2 linked regions of the Sus scrofa genome follow. The protein of the gene in region 1 interacts with the protein of each later gene in a pairwise test. Links are inferred from orthologs where the notes say so. Each region holds a gene or a part of one and is shown in the gene's direction. Other genes may lie near its edges.

Evidence for each region. The genes of interacting proteins can lie anywhere in the genome.
Region 2: the proteins of TOP1 (region 1) and BTBD1 interact in a two-hybrid assay, tested with the Homo sapiens proteins (2 studies listed by BioGRID). The link is inferred for Sus scrofa from reciprocal best matches to the Homo sapiens genes TOP1 and BTBD1.

The regions. Positions count from the first base shown.
Region 1 is NC_010459.5:43,788,335-43,794,634, forward strand, and holds part of TOP1 (DNA topoisomerase 1), read left to right. Parts: intron 1-284; coding exon 285-428; intron 429-1,475; coding exon 1,476-1,661; intron 1,662-2,666; coding exon 2,667-2,735; intron 2,736-3,401; coding exon 3,402-3,516; intron 3,517-4,553; exon of another isoform or gene 4,554-4,879; coding exon 4,880-5,007; exon of another isoform or gene 5,008-5,138; intron 5,139-6,300. UniProt on the Homo sapiens protein: Releases the supercoiling and torsional tension of DNA introduced during the DNA replication and transcription by transiently cleaving and rejoining one strand of the DNA duplex.
Region 2 is NC_010449.5:51,910,102-51,916,401, forward strand, and holds part of BTBD1 (BTB/POZ domain-containing protein 1), read left to right. Parts: intron 1-2,618; coding exon 2,619-2,811; intron 2,812-6,300.

The DNA.
Region 1 (6,300 bases):
ATGAGAATAGGGATGTTTATATCCTTTGCGTTGAGAGAACTTAATTTTAGGGACATGTCATGTGTGCTTTTCTTAAGAACATAACACATTTTACAAAACGAATTCTTAGCAATCAGACAGTTGCTTGTCAGGGAAATGGCACAGTGTGAGTTCTCATCAAGTAAATGCCTTGCTTATCTTACATTCAAGTTCCATCTCTTTGACTCAGAGCTCTGAACTTGGGTGTTCAAAGTCTTTATTCCACTATGCCTAAGCATTCTACTTCTGGGGCTGGGTCTTTGCAGGGTGAGAAAGACTGGCAGAAATATGAGACTGCTCGGCGGCTGAAGAAGTGTGTGGACAAGATCCGGAACCAGTATAGAGAAGACTGGAAGTCCAAAGAGATGAAAGTCCGGCAGAGAGCTGTAGCCCTGTACTTCATTGACAAGGTGATAGCATCTTCCTGTCACGTCACCTACCGTGTTCAGCTTAACAAAGGTGGAGGGAGCATTTACGCCTCCAGACCCCTGAGAAGCAGTGACAGCCCGTGGTCCCAGTGGTCCTCTTCACCCCATCTCTGGTCCAGTAGGGAAGGTAGAGATGGAGGAAGGTGATCAGTGTCTGCTGCTGTCTAGATATAGTCTTCCTAATAGGATTTTCATGAATCTGAATGCGCCAGAAATACTGTGACATTTTCAAACTGTTGCTGACATGAGGCACTCCCCAAATTTTATATCACAACCTAACACCCATAAACATATTTGTGTTGGTAGGTGTGTAACTGAAACAAAAGTTGCACAAAATGATGCTTGGCCTTTGCTTATAAGCAGTGAATTCTGGTGTTTTTCAGTTTCTTGTTTTTAAAAAAGGATGGTTATAACCCTTAAAATTGGTTAAACAATCTGCCAGTGTATCCCATCTGCAGTTTGCAAGACAGTTCTCTGGAGATGGTTTCTCAGCACTCTTTTGGAAGAAAAAGATTTCATATTTTCCCCCAGTTTTGTACTGTGTATGTTTATTTTAACACAAGTTCTGAATTGTCTTAAAAATTAAGCAAAATTAAGAGACTAGCTTTTTGAGCCTGATCGCCCAGAATTTTTTTTTAAAAAATGTTCTTTCTTCCATCCCCATTTAAGAGGACAGAGTAAAGAGAAACTTAGATTTCTGTATTTCCTGAGGTTCTCTTGTGGTGCAGCAGGTTAAGGATCCAGTGTTCCTGCATCTGTGTTGCAGGTCTCAGCTGTGGCATGGGTTAGATCCCTGGCCCAGGAACTTTCACAGGTGAAAGATGTGCCCCCCACCCCCCCAAAAAAAGTCCTTGATTCTCCATAATTCATTTCATAAGGGAAGAAGCAATGCAAATCCAGAGTTCCCAGGCCCTTGCAGACTGATGCTCTGTCTCCAAAGAGAATGGGGAGAGTTTCCTAGAGATCCTGTGAGATTCAAGTTTCTGCATGCTCATCTTTTTCTTTTTCCCTTCTTTCCTCCCTGGACAGCTTGCTCTGCGAGCAGGCAATGAGAAGGAGGAAGGAGAAACCGCGGACACTGTGGGTTGCTGCTCGCTTCGTGTGGAGCACATTAACCTGCACCCAGAGTTGGATGGTCAGGAATATGTGGTAGAGTTTGACTTCCTTGGGAAGGACTCAATCAGATACTATAACAAAGTCCCCGTTGAGAAACGAGTAAGTTAACATGGCCTGAGCTCCCTGGCCTGTTTTTTCATCCATTATTCAACAATCATTTTTTTGCCAGCTTTTCCTGTGCTCTGTGCTTTGCTGAACACTAGAAAAAAGTGACTTGAAAGAGAGGGAAGGGGTATTGTTTGGTGTCCTGTGTCCCTCCTTTTAGTCCTTGATTCTCATCATAAATTGCATGTAAGGTTTATTCCATCATGTTATTTTAATGATTTAACCACACTTCAATACCCTCTGGTCATGATGCACATATGTCAGCCTTGTAGCTTTCCTCAGCTTTCTCCCTACTCCTGATTCAGCCCTTGAGTCCCTGGATCTCTAAGTCTATAGCTCAAGAGGGTGCTGCAGTACTGCGGTCTCCCCAGCAGTATTGGGCTTAAACTAGAGACCTACAGAGTGCCAGGACCCCAGTAGTCTAGCCCATCAGCAGTCTGATGGTTCGTCAGTAATTAGATTTTGCTGGCTGTGGAAATGCTGTAGATTAAATGAAGCTAAAGAGATCTGACAAAATATCTGAACTTAGATTGGATTCCATACTGGGGAGGTAAAGAACATCATTGGGACAACTGACAAAATTGGAATATGGGCAATAGATTAGATAAAAGTATGTCTCAATATAAATTTATAAAGCTGATAAATACCATGTGTATAAGGGGGTATCTCTGTTCTTAGGTAATACATGAAATATTCAAGGGTAAATGGCCATAATATATGTAGGTTCCCAGAAATGGTTCACAGCAAATAATTGTGCATGTACACACATAGATGTAGAAGGAAGTAAGTATACATGTGCACTGCACAGATAGGAAGTGAGATAAAATGTTAATGGTAGGTGAATCTGAGGAAAAGATACGGTGTTCTTTGTGGGGTTTGTTTTTTATTTTCCTTTTTTAGCTTGCTAGCTTTTGTTAAGTGATTATTATTTTATAATAATTACTATTTTCAAAGTAAAGGTTTTAAAAATAATAATAAGGCTCTGCTTATTTCTTTTAGGTTTTTAAGAACTTACAGCTATTTATGGAGAATAAACAGCCTGAGGATGATCTTTTTGATAGACTCAATGTAAGTGGACAGAGTGCACAGGGTTGCAGAGGGGCCCGGCCAGAGCCTCCCAAGCTCCTTAAAGGAGAGGTCTTCCTGAGGGTCCCTGGGGCTCTCCCCTCAGCCTGTCCTGGGGCATCCTGTATACCCTCTCTCTCAGGCACACAGCAAATCCATGGTTGAAGATCCGGTGGGGGTGGGAGGTGGGGCGTGACCCCTGCCCGTTATCCTCCTCTGGCTCCTGCAGAACTGTTCCTTGGCTGGATGTTAAGCCACCTTTGCCAGAGACCCAAGTTTTATGGATTGCCGACAGGGGCTTCCTCTCTGCTCTAAAAATACCTGCATTTTGTGTTTTATATCTGTGATTTTAAAGCTCACAGAATGAAGATACAGTACTGTGATGTTCTGTTAAATTGGAAAGAGTCTCTGAGATCTTAATAGGGAAGGTACATTTGCTTTATTGGCCTGCTTAAGATTGGAGTGCTTCTTAGGGAGATACTCTGTATTCTGGAATTCTTTTCCCTTTTCCTGACCAACCCCCCCCCGGGGGGGGGGGCAGAGCAGTGAGCTTGGCAAGGTTGTGATGGCACTGGCATAAATATCTAGAGCTTGCCAGAAAGGCCAGGATGGTATGGCTTTTACCTAAATCCCATCGGTAAAAGCCTTTTGTTGCTTTGTCTCCCCCAGACTGGTATTCTAAATAAGCATCTTCAGGATCTCATGGAGGGCTTGACAGCCAAGGTGTTCCGTACATACAACGCTTCCATCACGCTACAACAGCAGCTAAAGGAACTCACAGCTCGTAAGTACTATTTGGCTAGACAGGGCCCACAGCCTTAACTAACGCTGTCCAGTATCTTATGCAGCTAAGTTGTAATTCTGCTTTTCCTCCTTGACATTGTGACTGGAAATTCCCCCCCCCCACACACACACACTTCTAACAGAGGGCTAAGGCTTAGTTGTGTAAACGTAGAACAGTGCTACTTGCCAAATTTCTACTCTAGCTTCTAGATTAGTTTTATGGATTGCCGACAGGGGCTTCCTCTCTGCTCTAAAAATACCTGCATTTTGTGTTTTATATCTGTGATTTTAAAGCTCACAGAATGAAGATACAGTACTGTGATGTTCTGTTAAATTGGAAAGAGTAAAGTTGTCATGGTTACTAAAACAACATAGTGGCAAATCCCTTCCCTGAGGTGTCTGTCCTTTTTTTCCCCTTTAGAATAGATAGTATTCTCCTAAAAACTAGCTGCAGATGGTACCACCAAGATCTCCAAGCTTTCTTCCGTGAAGTCTAGTCACTGCTAAATTTCCACTGTCCTCTAGAAATATTTCAGATGGTATTAGAAAGTGGCAATCAGGGGTTCCCTAGTGGCTCAATGGGTAAGTTAAGGATCCAGAGTTGTCACTGCTGTGGCTCAGGTTGCTGCTGTGGTATCAATTCGATCCCTGGCCTGGGAACAGCTGTGGCCAAAAAAAAAGGAAAAGAAAAATGGTATTCAGAACATCAAAGATGGGTATGTTGATGGTATTTTATTTTATTTTTTGTCTTTTCTAAGGCCACACCGGCGGCATATGGAGGTTCCCAGGCTACGGGTCTAATCAGAGCTATTGCTGCCGACCTATGCCAGAGCCACAGCAACATGGGGATCCGAGCCCGTCTGCAACCTACACCACAGCTCACGGCAACACCGGATCCTTAACCCACTGAGCGAGGCCAGGGGTGGGACGCGCAACCTCATGGTTCCTAGTCGGGTTCATTAACCACTGAACCAGACAGGAACTCCTGTTGACGGTATTTTAGAGAGGGATAAAGAATACTATATGGCACAAAAACACTTCTTGGATGACACTTTTTATTTTTCTTATTGAAAGATACAGTACTTTGTGGTTTTAAAATGTAAAATTTATAGTGCCTTTGTCTTACTTTCCTCTATACACTTTCTCTGTCCCAATGCCATATTTTCTTCAGGCTACTTTGAGTGGTTAGATGGGGGAGCACTGAGGCAAGCAGATGATTCTGTTGACTCAGATTCTGACCTTGTGCCAACTTGAGCTGATCATCTGCGCTAGATGAGGACCAGTTAATAGTGAGGATGAAGCACTGGGTATTATTTCTTGTTATACACACTGACTCTTTTATTACCATGTTTCTTTCTTCACAGCTGATGAAAACATCCCAGCAAAGATCCTATCTTATAACCGTGCCAACCGAGCTGTTGCAATTCTTTGTAACCATCAGAGGGCACCACCAAAAACTTTTGAGAAGTCCATGATGAACTTGCAGACTAAGGTATCTTGGATCTGGATGGCGGGATAGCAAAATGAAGAAAACCGTATCTGCTGTGGGCATTTATACTCCACCCTTCTGAGCTGGGGTATTAGACGGCCAGTTCTGGGTCCATTCTAGAAGAACGGTTCATGCTAAAGATAAAAAAATGGAAATATGATAGTAGTTACCTCTAAGATACTGAGTATCAAGTACTCATTGTTCAGGAAGTCTATTATTTTGTGGACAAAAGTTCTACATTGACTACTTCCAATTTTTAAAAGCTAAATTTGATGTACCTTCTTTGATATAACTGCTAATTGTTGCTTCTATACATGAGGATAATAGATACAAAGATATCTTTACAAATCATTTCCACAGCTCAGAACTATTAACTGTATCCAAACTGGATTGTTTAAAATTGAAAAAATGATGAAACAATGATGTTTAATTTCCCCTAATCCTAGCATAACTATTTTTATTTTTACACATGCCACATGAATCACATTTTTATATAGCTCATCATCAAACATCTGTTGAATACCGGCTGTGTGCCAGAGCTGCTGACCTAGAAGAGAGACTTAGGTGCAAACAACTAGATGCTGTTCCTCTTCCATGTGCCTCTTTCCTTCCTCTGACTCTGCCTGGTACTGAGCTTTGAAGCTGCAAGGCACTTAATATTTGATGATGATCACTTCTGTGTTAGCAAACTAATCCATTCTGATGTACTAACCCACAATGAGAATTTGCAGCTATTTCACCACAAAGCAGACACATGGATTACAAAGTAAATCAATTATTTTGAAAATGTATTTACCAAAAGCCCAATAAAGTGATAGATGTGCTTCCTCACTAATTTACTAAATAAAATCTTAGGTGGGTCTCATAATTATTGTAAATGTCAGGGTAGTAATAATGATACTTTGATTTCAGCAACAATTGTAATATGATATGAAAATATATGTACCATCTATTGGTGACAAAATCTGGAGTTCCCGTTGTGGCTCAGTGGTTAACAAATCCAACTGGGAACCATGCAAGTTCCATCCCTGGCCTTTCTCAGTGGGTTACAGATCCGGCGTTGCCATGAGCTGTGGTGTAGGTTGCAGGCGCGGCTTGGATCCCGAGTTGCCGTGGCTCTGGCCTAGGCCGGCAGCTACAGCTCCGATTAGACCCCTAGCTTGGGAACCTCCATATGCTGCGGGTGCGGCCTTAGAAAAGACAAAAAATAAAATAAAAATATTGGTGACAAAAGCATAGTACTACTGATATTACAGTGGTGGTTGCTCACATTCACAACCAAAGAAATGATGAGTT
Region 2 (6,300 bases), on another chromosome or scaffold:
AGCCTCTCTTGGTTTTTGATAGGCCTTCCCCTCTAAGCCTAATCATTTCTAACTTTTGATTTAAAACGAGAGATAAAAGACTTTCACTTGAAGACTTGGAGGCCTTTAAAGGGCTATTAATTAGCCTAACTTCTATATTATTGTGTCTCAGGGAACAGGGAGGCTGAGGAGAGGAAGAGAGAGGGGGGAATGGTAGTAGGTCGAGCAGACAAAACATAAACAATATTTATCAATTAAGTTTGCTGTCTTATATGGCACAGTTTGTGGGGCCCATAACAACTGCAATAGTAACATCAAAGATCAAAGATCACCACAACAAATATAATAATAAAAAGTTTGGGGGTTGTGGCTCAACAGGTTAAGAACCTGACGTAAGGAGTTCCCATCGTGGCGCGGCAGAGATGAATCCGACTAGGAACCATGAGGTTGTGGGTTCGATCCCTGGCCTCACTTAGTGGGTTAAGGACCTGGTGTTGCCATGAGCTGTGGTGTAGGTCACAGACACAGCTCAGATCTGATGTTGCTGAGGCTCTGGCATAGGCTGGCAGCTATAGCTCTGATTAGACCCCTAGCCTGGGAACCTCCATATGCCGCAGGTATGGCCCTAAAAAGACAAAAGACAAAAAACAAAAAAAACCTGACATAGTGTCTGTGAGGATGCAGGTTAGATCCCTGGCCTTGCTTAGTGAGTTGAGGATTGGGCATTGATGCAAGCTGCAGCATAGGTTGCAGATGTGACCCAAATCCAGCATGGCTGTGGCCAGCAGCTGCAGTTCTAATTCGACCCCTAGCCCGGTAACTTCCATATGCTGCAGGTGTGGCTGTGAAAAGAGAAAAAAAGTTTTTTTTAAAGAAGAAGTTTAAAATATTGCTAGAATTCCCAAAATGGGACACAGAGACAAAGTAAGCAAATGCTTTTGGAGAAATAGCAACAGACTTGCTTGACAGAGTTGCCACAAACCTTCCAATTTGTTTAAAAATGTAGTATCTGTGAGGCATAATAAAGCAAGGTATACCTGTAGTCTTAAATTATTGCATTATAAAGCAAGGTATACCTGTAGTCCTAAATTATTGCATCATCCTATTTCTTGCTGTTAGTTCTTCAGGAATACTAGTTACCTATATGTTGGTCTCTGTTTTTTTTTTTTTTTTAATCCGTTTAATCACCTTAAAATTTTAATTATTTTGTCTTCTTGTCATTCTGAGAAAGTTATGAGTTTTTATCTCTGTCTTTTGATCTTATGCACTTCCAGTTCTGTTCTTTCTTTGCTAAAATGCATGGTTTTAAGTTTGTAATTTTATTTTTTTTCCTCTTTACAATCTTTCCTTCTCTAGAGATTGCAAATGAACTATGAGGCCAGGCCTGGCAGATCAGTAGATTTTGTGTGTCGCATTTAAATGTTTTTTACTTTAAAAATGAGGGCATTTTACATTAAATCTGATTTATGGCTTCCTAAATCAAATTTCTAGAGTTCTGCAGTCTTTTTTTAGATCATTTTTATTAGCCTTGGATGGGATCTCCTGTCATCTTTTATGAGGAGCAGTATTTATTCCTGGATAAATGTAAGCTGTCTGGAATTTTCTCTTCCCAGAAACAGTGAATGAGAAAACTGTAACATAGGATATACTGCTTCCACAGCTCTTCCAATATTAGCTCCTGCCCTCTGCTGATTTCTAAATCCCTCAGTGGAAGCACTGTACCATCTATTTCTACCTCTAAATATTCCATCGTTTGATTATAGCCTCAGACAGATGGGGGTGGAGAGGTAACGATAACTCTAGCTTCCACTGTGAACATTTCTCCACCTCTTCTCTTTTTGGTAAACAGAATATTCAGAGAAGGTGAGTAGATAGAAAGATTTAGAGATCTGGAGTTCCTGTTGTGGCGCAGTGGTTAATGAATCCAACTAGGAACCATGAGGTTGGGGGTTCGATCCCTGGCCTCGCTCAGTGGGTTAACAGTCCAGCGTTGCGGTGAGCTGTGGGGTAGGCTGGTGGCTGCAGCTCCGATTGGACCCCTAGCCTGGGAACCTCCATATGCCGCGGGAGCTGCTCTAAAAAGGCAAAAAGACAAAAAAAAAAAGAAAGAAAGAAAAAGAAAAGATTTAGAGATCTTTCTGTGATCTCAGGGATTCATCTAAGCTTTGATTTATTAATGATTTTAACACTTACATATTAGGTTAACCTCAGATGAATTTGGTGAAACTTTTAAATAGATGCTAAAATTATGTATGTTCGAGTTTTCATCGTAGCGCTGAGGAAATGAATCTGACTAGAAACCATGAGGTTGTGGGTTCGATCCCTGGCCCTATTCAGTGGGTCAGGGATCCGGCGGCGTTGCCATGAGCTGTGATGTAGGTCTCAGACATGGCTCGGATCCTGCGTTGCTGTGGCTTTGGCATAGGCCGGCAGCTGTAACTTCAGTTCAGCCCCTAGCCTGGGAGCTTCCATATGCTGTGGGTGTGTCCCCAAAAAGTAAAATAAAACAAGGTAAAATTTCTCTACCTCATTATTACTTTACACTTTCCAGATTTGAGTTCATATTATTATGTGGAATAAAAAAGTTAGGAGTTGCAATGAAGTAGCTTTAATTGAGGTTTATATTTTTATTTGTACAGGTCCTGCTCAGTCTGGAATTCTGTCAGATCGTGAAGTAGTAAATCTCTTCCTTCATTTTACTGTCAACCCTAAGCCCCGAGTTGAATACATTGATCGACCAAGATGCTGCCTCAGAGGAAAGGAATGCTGCATCAATAGATTCCAGCAAGTAGAGAGCCGCTGGGGTTACAGTGGAACAAGCGATCGAATCAGGTATCTGTCTTATTATAGACTTGGGGTGCGGTGGGCTAGTAGTTAGCATTTGGCTTTTATGCTCATACTGTGGGAGAAAATTAGCCACATTTTATTTTATACTTTGTTTAATATGTTTCTAACTTAGGACAGTAGTCAGGGAGTCAGTGAGGCTTATTTGTCTCCCCACTGAATTATGAGTGAGGGGATCTCTTAGGAGACATTAGAAAGGATCGAATTGGGCCTCCTTGTACATGAGTTTTGTTTGGATTGCCACTGTTGGTGAGCTGAAGTCTAGACCTTGATTGATCAAAGACTGTTTTTACAGTCTTAGAGCTATAATTTAAGACATTTAATCTTGCTCTGTTTAGTGTGAGTTTTTTCTTTGTACAGACACTGCATGGAAAATATCTTACTATACGTTTGTAACAACTTTGAATGGAAAAAATTTAAATCTTACAAGATGCATGCATATAATCCTGGTGGAAATGATATTTCCCCTACTGTGTTTCCTTAGGTTAAATATTGAAATAGAATAAGTACTTGTTTACATTTTTTAAAAAATGCCTTTTTTTCAAATGAACTTATTTATAAAACAAAAACAGACTTAAGATCTCAAAATCAAGTTTATGGTTACCAAAGGGGAAACATGGGAGAAAGGGATAAATTAGGAGTTTGGGATTAACAACTACATACTACCTTAAGACAGGCCTTTTGGATTTTCACTTATTTAGTATTAATAGCACTTTGGTATAAAATGAGAAACTAACAACAAATTTGTTTAAAATTAGAACTCCAGGGAAGAGAAAACTCTTAGAAATATTGAGTTAAAATGGAAATAAAAATGCGTTTGTAGAATATTTAGTAAGGAGAATACTATAAATGAAAACTTGGCGTTCCCATCGTGGTGCAGTGGAAACGAACCCAACTAGGAACCATGAGGTTGCAGGTTTGATCCCTGGCTTTGCTCAGTGGGTTAAGGAACTGGCGTTACTGTGAGCTGTGGTGTAGGTCGCAGACGCGGCTCAGATCTTGTGTGGCTGTGGCTGTGGCGTAGGCTGGCAGCTGTAGCTCCAATTAGACCCCTAGCCTGGGAACCTCCATATGCCAAGGGTTCGGTCCTAAAAAAGCAATAAATAAATAAATAAATAAAAGAAAACTTATGGGATGAGGCTATAAGTGTCACACAGAGAATTAGCAATAATGGGGGGGGGGGGTGGTCATGGCCAGCAGTGGCTTGATGTGGGATCTCACTCCCCAGACCAGGAGTTGAACTTGGGCCACTGTGGTGAAAGTGCCAAGTCCTAACCACTAGGCCACCAGGGAACTCCCAATAATTAACTACTTTTACTAAGTAAGTTAGAATAGAAATAAATGATGTAAGCATTTAGTCCAAGAAGCTGGAAAATGAATAGCAAAAGAACCATAAGAAAAGAGAAAGGAAATGGAGTTCCCACTGCGGTGCAGTGGGATCAGTGGTGTCTCAACAGCGGCAGGGATGCAGATTTGATCCCCAGCTGACACAGTGGGTGAGGGATTTGGGATTGCCGCAGCTGTGGCGTAGGTCACAACTCTGACTCAGATTCAGTCCCTGGCCCAGAAATCCCAGGTGCAGCAGGGTAGCAAAAAAAAAAAGAAAAAAAAAGAAGAAGAAGAGAAAGGAAATAGATAAATATAGAAATTAATGAATTAAAAATAGAATTGTTAAATCCATAAGCCGTTTTCCTGGAAAAAAAAATGAAATAAGTAAACCTCTGACAAAAATAAAAAAGAAAACATACATTTGCAGATCATAATGGGAATATAATTATATACTGAGGAAATTTTTATTTTGATTCTGGGTTTACTCTGTGCTAATAAATTGAACATCTTGATGGAATGGATCATTTTGTAGGCAAATATAAATTATCAAAATTGACTGAAGAAGAAACCTGAATAGACCAATTACCATGGAAGAAATTAAAAGTTATCAAAGAACTGTCCCTTCAAGGTGGTTTTGACAGGTGAGTTTTATCAAACCTTCAGGGAACAGATTGTTTCCTTGAGCATTAAAAGAAGAAAAATACTTCTTGGTTAATTACTGAAAGAAGCATAACCCTTATACAGAAACCTGACAAGACAAAAAATTTTCTAGGTCAGTCTCACAGGAAGGAATTCTATGTAAAATAGCATATTGAATCAAGCAGTACCTTAGAAGAATAATACTATAAAAGCAAATAGAATTTATTTGGAAATGGAAAGAATGGCTCAATACTAAGAAATGTATTACTGTAATTCACCATGGTAGCAGGTCAAAGAAAAAACCAGTTTATTTCAATAGGTGTCAAAAAGACTTGATAAAATTTCACCCTTGGTCCCGCTATAGCCGTTAATAGGCTAGGTCTAGAAGAATACTTCTTTAACTGTTGAAACCTCAAAATAGGGATGCCTGCTAACCTTGCTGCTTTTTCAGCAGTGTTCCTATAATTCTGATTGATGTAGTTGTAAGGGATAAAGAAATGAGAGCATAAAGGAAAAAGAAATCTTGAAAAGGAAGAAGTCTTTTTCATTATTTGCAGATAACGTTATTTACATTAGCAGTTCTGTACTCCATCAGACCTAGTTCTCTCTTTTATAATAAATATTTTGTATTCTCCCTGTACTAACCTGGGATGAAATTCATAGATAATATATTTCATTGTTAAGTGATATAATGACCTAGTTGTAATGTAAAGGACAATAAATGTAACTGATAGTAAAATGAAATACATATTTCAGTAGGTGGATATTTGTGCAGCACCAGAAGACAAACAAGCAAGCAGTACACACCAGCCCGCCTAGACGGCTACAGTGCAGGGTGTGTTCATGTCGCAAATTCCATGAGCAGCACTGCTGGCAGTTTTGTCATTTTCTTTAAAGGTTTCAAATAAAGCAAAGTACAATAAATCCTATTCATCCACTTTCTATATTTGAGGACTCATCTACTCAGTAAAATTTATGGTTAACCTCCAGATCAATACCAGCAATGCTTTCTCAGTTGTTCACAGGAAAGATCTGAGTTGTCCAGCCGCATGTTCTTTGTGAGATCAAACAAGGCAATCCTCTGCCCTCCTATTTGAGCTCTCCTACATAGACGGAGACAGCGGCGGGCAGTGTAGTGCAAGACACTGCAGCTCTCGAGCTGTTTGGATAGGTTGAATCCCAACTCTGGCATGTGTTAGTGGGGTGGCCTTATGCAAATCACTTAACACTTCTTAGTTCCATCTTCTCTTTTGTAAAATAAAACAGAATATACTAGAATGAGATACTTTAGGATTTAAGATTATAATCCATATAAGTGGGGGGGGGGTGTGTGTGTTTATGTACATAGTCCCCCTAAGAACAGTAGTTTAGTGTTTGCTAATTCTGTGTCAGCAGCAACTATAGACTATAACTACCACAAATAATGAGCATTACTGCATGTTATTTCCTCTGTTTATAAAACATAATAGTTGCCTCTTATAAAAGTCAGTAAATACTAAAATTGCCTAA